Rattus norvegicus: one gene and its partner. The protein of the gene in region 1 purifies or fractionates together with the protein of each later gene. This does not show direct contact. Links are inferred from orthologs where the notes say so. Each region holds a gene or a part of one and is shown on either strand. Other genes may lie near its edges.

The links.
Region 2: the proteins of Akirin2 (region 1) and Ipo9 purify together in Homo sapiens (affinity purification with mass spectrometry; 3 studies listed by BioGRID and IntAct, counting the BioPlex papers as one, with this or other methods). This does not show direct contact. The link is inferred for Rattus norvegicus from reciprocal best matches to the Homo sapiens genes AKIRIN2 and IPO9.

What each region holds. Positions count from the first base shown.
Region 1 is NC_086023.1:53,916,728-53,919,466, reverse strand, and holds the end of Akirin2 (akirin-2), read right to left. Parts: intron 2,390-2,739; coding exon 2,240-2,389; intron 1,539-2,239; coding exon 1,467-1,538; coding exon of another isoform or gene 1,441-1,466; exon of another isoform or gene 1,284-1,440; coding exon 1,273-1,283; 3' UTR 597-1,272; downstream 1-596. UniProt on the Homo sapiens protein: Molecular adapter that acts as a bridge between a variety of multiprotein complexes, and which is involved in embryonic development, immunity, myogenesis and brain development.
Region 2 is NC_086031.1:49,411,674-49,415,955, reverse strand, and holds the start of Ipo9 (importin-9), read left to right. Parts: upstream 1-1,478; 5' UTR 1,479-1,526; coding exon 1,527-1,689; intron 1,690-1,997; exon of another isoform or gene 1,998-2,095; intron 2,096-4,282. UniProt on the Homo sapiens protein: Nuclear transport receptor that mediates nuclear import of proteins, such as histones, proteasome and actin. Serves as receptor for nuclear localization signals (NLS) in cargo substrates.

The DNA of each region.
Region 1 (2,739 bases):
CCAGCCCTTATGTTAGTTCTGTCATCTCAGCAGTACCTATGACTTCCTAAATTCCAAGAAGGCTCATCTAGATCAGGTTAGCCTGTGGGTGTGTCTGTGGGTGACTGAACTGCCTTAACCAATTAGGAAGACAGCCAACCAGAAAATGAGTGGAGCTATCCACTAAACTCAGTAGTATGCATTTATTGCTTCTCTCTCTGCTCTTACTTGTGGCTTCAAGTTCCTGTTGATTTCCCCACAGTGATAGACTGCAATGTGGAATTTTGAGTTAAAATAAACACTTAATACCCTAAACTGCTTTTTGCAGTTACTTTATCACATCAACCAGAACAACCGTGCTTTCAAATATCACATCATTCAAACCATCAAAACTGGCTTCAAAGGTGAAGTTGTACAGCTGTTTTAGAACTTGTTATGCTGTTATACAGCAAGTTACAGAAGCAGTTCTGAATCAGAACTTAATTTCTGACAACAGCATTTAAAAGGCAAATACTACCAGAAATTAACTTCATTGATTTCTAGAAAATCCTTACGTTTAAAAACACTACTTTATTCCAATACTACCCATGTGTACAATTTGAAAACAGGCAGAATAGAAGTAAATGTTTTATTTTTCCAACTAAACTCCAGTGCTACAAGGGCAGTAAAACAATAATACACTGGGGGAGGGGTGCAGCAATAAACATTTGTTAAAAAGACTGATAGAATAAATAAAACTACCAAAAAATAATAAAGGAAATCATATAAACCCATTCTGAAACCCCAAGAAAAGTCCTGAAATACAGAAATGCCCTCCTCCTCCTCTTCCTCCATCTCACTGAAGTACTGTAGACTAACTGCTTAAATGTCCTGGGATTACATTCTAAGTTATTAATAACTGGTTACAGCTTGGTTGTAGTGCACAATTAAAATCACACTAACTTCATCTGACGTGTCATTCTACAGTTTTATTTACATAACCAGTGAAGGGCATGTTCTAGAATGCCAGCTTTAATCCCTTTCAAACATTAATATAAAGAAGCCAAATTGTAATGATACAGCAAAACGAGGCCACTGGTATTAATACAAGTAGCAAAGGTCCACATCCGGGTGGTAATGACATCACGGAAATTTCCAAAACCAATTGCTGCTGCCTAAGAGTGGTTGCCACTGACGAAAGCTTGAAGTAACCTGGTTCACAGATGGGCGCTGGCATTGCTGTATGTCACAGCTGGGACCTCCTGCAACAACTCAACAAGGAACAAGGCAGCCCACAAATGCAAAAAGCGTGATTCATGAAACATCTGGAGGAGAAAAGGAGTATTAGTATAGCTGATAGCGCAAAATTACAACAAACAAGATCATTCCTTCCTAACACTTTACTTTTGCTTTAAACTAACCTTTTCTCCACACTTTTTATATCAACTCTCTTCTTAAATATGAAAACATGGTCTTTTCTGTTTATAGTTCAAAGGTCAAATACTTACAACTAGCAGGCTGTTCTCCATATCGCCGCATTATCTGATCATGCGTAAACTTCACAAATGCATCGTATTGTTCTATAAGTAAAGGTATGTGTAAATTACATGACTTGCATGTACATATTAAATATCCTCTCTAATGTATCGGAAAATATAAAGGAACATGAAGACTCTTGACACCATAATCCTTTTCACAATCTGAATAGTAATTGTAAACAGTTCAAATAAGTGTTTTCCACATGATGCAAAATAAAAATTTAATACCGTAGCTGATCTACGTGGCTACCTCATACCTGGGACCATGAAGGTGAGATATGGGCTTTAAGAATGTTAATTCTCCTTTTTTACTGAAATTCTCTGGTCCACAGACAAGACTACCAATGTATAGAAAGATATGTCAATGTAAAAACACCTGTAGGAAATAATTCTTAGTGAGCTTCTAGGTGTGGTGATCTGAATAAGAATGGACTCCAGAGTTTCACATATTTGAATTCAAGTCACCAGGGAGTGGAATTCTGAGAGAATTAGATTATGAGGTGTGGTCTCATTGGCAGAAGTGCATCACTGGGGTAGGGGTAGGATGTGAAATTAGAATGTAGCTCTCAGGTATCGTGTTAGTACCTATCTGTATGCTGCCATGCTGTAACCCTCTAACACTGGAAGCAAGCTTCTAATTAAACGCTTTCTTTCCTAAGAGTGAGTTAGTTGCCTTCGTCATGGTGTCTCTTCACAGCAACAGAACAAACACTGGGATCTTCAAAAATAAACTCAGTTGTTACCTGCAAGTTTTGTGTTCAGTATTTCTTCATATTCTTCTCGAACCTTCTCTTCCCGTTCTTTCAACAAACGTTCACAGATCATCCCAACCTGCCTTAGAGTAAATAAGGGCTGTTCTTTTTTTAATGGTGAGGATGTTGCAGATGAAGTCCCTATGTACAACATGAATAAAAGATCACCTGATTTAGTACCACAGAATACCTCCTGAATGAAGGTCTCACTGAGAGAACTTCCCCATGTAACTTAAAATCTGTTATCTGGGACTGGAGAGATGGCTCAGAGGTTAAGAACACTGGTTGCTCTTCCAGAGGTCTTGAGTTCAATTCCCAGCAACCACATGGTGGCTCACAACCATCTGTAATGGGATCCAATGCCCTCTTCTGGTGTGTCTGAAGACAGCTGCAGTGTACTCATATACATAAAATAAAACAAATCTTTAACAAAAAAAAAAAATCTGTTATCTATGATAATTTGATCAGACTATGACTCTGGAAAAAGGATG
Region 2 (4,282 bases), on another chromosome or scaffold:
TTGACACAGTTTCTGGTGGCAGGCCAGATCACTGACATCTGCTTTGCCTTTGATGGTAATTCAGGTCACAGACATTGACACAGACGGCAGCTGCAGCAGGACCAGGAACCCAGACATGGCCCTTGGAAGCAGCCGGGGCCAGGACCTCAGCATGGCCTTCTCATATCCCCCTATTCCTCACAGCCTTTAGAGGTAGAGCCTAGTTCTACCTCTCTTTACAGTGTATGAACCCCTCAGCTTGGTTTCTCCTCCATCTGCACCACATTCTCTCTCTTTCCCATCACACATTCATTCATCATAGTGCCACCCACCACAGGTGCTTGACTGTCTTTCTTCTGGCCTCCCCCAACACTTTTTTTTTTTTTTTGGTTCTTTTTTTCAGAGCTGGGGACCGAACCCAGGGCCTTGTGCTTCCTAGGTAAGCGCTCTACCACTGAGCTAAATCCCCAGCCCCCCCCCAACACTTTTTTAAAATTAAGTAATGTTATATATTTGCGGGATTCACTGAGTAGTCACATAGAGAATCAGTCTAGAGCCGTGTGTGGTGGCACATATATACACCTGTAATCTCAGCAGTGGGGCAGGTGAAAACAGGAAGATCAAAATCCGGGAATTCAAGGTCAGTGCCAGCTACCGAGCAAGTTTGAGGACAGTTTGAGCCACATGTGATCTTGTCTCAAAAACAAGATAACGACAAATAGGTAGATTTTTTTTTTCTTAAATCATTCTAGAGAAAGGCTGCTTTACATGTAGGCACTCTCTCCTAGACAGCCACTTTTTGACATTGGGTCCATCTAAGCTAAAAAGCTAGAAAACTGGCTTTTTCTAAAGTGACCACTCCCCATTGCCAATTTCACTTAAGTTTTTCTGCATGTCCCCTTTTCCCTGTCCTCTCCCTCAGCGTCTTTGGATCTCTAAAGCTAAAACGTATGAACGGACCCAATTGAATCATTGCAGTTTTTAATTGAGAGGAGGGGTGTTGGTTTAAGGAAGATGCTATTCTGACCCCCTTCCTTTAAAGCTGGACCTCTGTCCTAACACGTCTTAAATCTGAGCCTAGAATAACGCTGGAGGAAAGGGGTGATGGGAGCGGGGGAAAAGGCATCTCTTCCGTGCCCACTACAATCCATTGCAGACAAGGGGCAGGGCCTTCTGTGCCCACGCCCTCGGGGGTACCTTACCCGGCTCCCTTGCCATCGGGGTCAGCTCTACTGAGCTGCCCAGTTGGAATAAAGGTTAAACGCCTTTATTCCAAGCGCGTTTGCTAACAGCGCGTGCGACTTCAGGACTACAAACCGTTATGGGAATTCTGTGTGCATATACGTCCGAAGCGTGCTGGCCCGCAAAGCGCCGTTCGGTTCCGGCAGCAGAAGGCGCTGTCTCGGGAGGCTGCGACCTATCCCCGCCCCCCGCCCGCTCCCGCCTACTTAGATGCGCAGGCGCGGCTTCGCGGATTGGCCGTCAGCGGGAGCCGTCATTCGGTGGCGGGTCCCGGCCGCGGGGCTGGCGGGCTGAGGGGAGGAAAGATGGCGGCGGCGGCGGCAGCTGGTGCGGCTTCTGGGCTGCCGGGTCCAGTGGCACAGGGATTGAAGGAGGCGTTGGTGGATACCCTCACCGGGATCCTGTCCCCGGTGCAGGAGGTGCGGGCGGCTGCAGAGGAGCAGATTAAGGTGCTGGAGGTGACAGAGGGTGAGTGAGGCGGGACCGTCACGAGGATGGCTCGGACCAGGGCCGGCCGCACAGTCCGCTGACCGCAGGGATTTGGGGATCCTTAGCCAGGAGAGAGGTGGGCGTCAGGAGTGGGTTAGGAAACGGGGGTGGGGGTGCCGCTGGCGGCCGTGAAAGTCCTAGAAGAAGGGTGGCGCGTCTGAAACGAGAGGGTCCGGGGAGGTGGAGCCTTAGCGGGGATGGGGTGGGTGAAGACTTGAAAAGATAGATAGTGGCTGGGTTCTGCAGAGGACAGAAATGGAGTTCGACGTGGTGCTGTCGATGTCGCGCAATCTGGATATTTGAGACCAAGACAAGATCTTTTGCCGTTTTCTTCTCCAACTCGGTTCTAGTGGGATCAAGGAAGGGAGCTAGAGAAGTGCGAGAGGTAAGGCCCTTAAGAAGGCGGCCACCATCAAACAAGTTTCCGTATCAGAGTTTTAAATCTGGCTAGTTGTTCAGACACCTCTTGTTTTCCTAGAAATCAACTCAGTTCGATGCATACGATGCATCACTTTCCCGACCATCCTTTCCGTTTTATTTTTCTTTTAAAGACTTACTGGCAATTATTGAGTACTGTGCATTTCTATGTACAGGAACGGTTTTTCCTTTGTTTTAGATTCTTTGTTCTCATCCTTCCATTATGTCCTTTTAAAGTGTTAGAGAAGAAACTATTTGACGTTTTCTTTTAATTTCCTGTTTAGTGGGCTTTCAGCAGGCCTTTTTTTTTTTTTTTTTTTACAAAGAAAAAGGGTAAAATCTCCTTGGTCTTTATGTAAGAAACCTATCTGATTTGGAATTCCAGATCCTCAGATTCCCCAAGTTCAAGGGAATATTTTCACTGCTCCTTAAACTTAGGCTTCTTCAGAAATATGGGAGATTGTTTCCATATTTGACCAACCAACCCCAAAACCTTGAATTAATGCTCCTACGGGACTTATTTTTATTGAAAAGAAATGGATGTGGTGGGGGGACCTCCTTTGAACTTAGTTTTTATATTCTTTTATATGACCCAACCATTGAAGGAAAGTTCCCTTCTGTTGGAACTATTGGGATTCGGGATCTAATAGGTTAAAGACTTTTCAAAGGCCAGGTGTAGTTTTATAACATACCAGACTCTCTTAAGAGAAGGAGCCGTGGATGGGAGAAAGCCATTGGAAAGCAACACATAACTTGACCTGAGGTTTCCCGGTCATGTTCCTTGACTTTACAGTTCATACCTCTGCTCCCTCAGTATAAGGAAAGAAAGCTGATAGGCAGAAACCTTACTAAACTTGTTACTTGCATTTAGTTGCTGGATCTGATGCAAACCGATCCTTAATCAAACCTTCTATGAGTAATACCCAGTGTTTGAGCTAACTCCCAAATTGACACCTTGCTGTGAAAGGCGGGCTTATGTTTAAACTGTACAGTAGCTCTGACTTCTTCCAGCTCTGGCCAGATGCTATGGCCTCCTCTACGGCAAAATCAGTTATAAACTTCTTGAAATCATTTTGAAGTTCTTGTCGCCTACTCTTGTTGTCCTTTGGGGTCTTGAGATCAAAAGTACAGAATTTTGAACTAGTCCACTGGTGAATAATCTGGTAAAGGCCACCTCAATTCTTCCTGTCCCCATAACCTACTGATAATGTGCTGAGTGGCATGCTGTGAGGCAGGGGGTAAGCTCTGATAGAATAACAGGAATGGTGGCCTAGTAGTGAGGCATATGACTCAAGTATAGAATGCGGTTAGAGTTAGATCAAACCTGGAGTTGAATATAGTATATTGGACTCTTCAGTGGCTTTAAAATAGTCTTGTCCCCCTCTGTACCTGTTTTTAGTTAGAGGATAGTGGTTCATTCCTTAAGACTTTTCCAGGAGTGGTCTTCAACAGTAATCTCTCCCATTGGGTCACAGGCATCTCCAGTTGTACATACTGGCTAGCTCTCTGAGATACCTTCTAAACGTAAGCTAACAGCTTCCTTAGCTGTGGCCCTTCTGTACATGAAACAACAGCATCTGGTCTCCTAGGAGGAGTTCACGAGCTTCTTAGAGTGTCAGGGAATTGTCCCTGTAATGAAAATCTCAGTGGGACAAAAAATAAGGAGCCTTTCTTTTTCTTTTTTCTTTTTTTTTTTTTCCTTTTTCTTTTTTTTCGGAGCTGGGGACCGAACCCAGGGCCTTGTGTTTGCTAGGCAAGCGCTCTACCACTGAGCTAAATCCTCAACCCCAATAAGGAGCCTTTCTTACAAATGACTGAAGAAATGATTTGCGCCCTTGGAATTGCCTTTCAGTTCTAGTTTTATCCCAGAAGGATGAGCCTTGCTTTCTGATCATTTAAAACATCTTCCTTACAATCTGAAGTTTATGAGAGTTGGTGTCTTATTTTTGTGTTTTGGTAATTTTCTATGTCAATAGAGCACAGGGTCAAGTAATTTATCAGATCTAGTCCCTCTACCCTCCCGCTGTGAGCCATTTGCTATTGCCTCACATAAACATCAGACACTGGACCCACATGGATTATAAAATTTTAGGTTTTTGCTTTTTTGTTTTTCCTAGCTGTCCTTGAACTCAATCTGTTGACCAGGCTGTCCTTA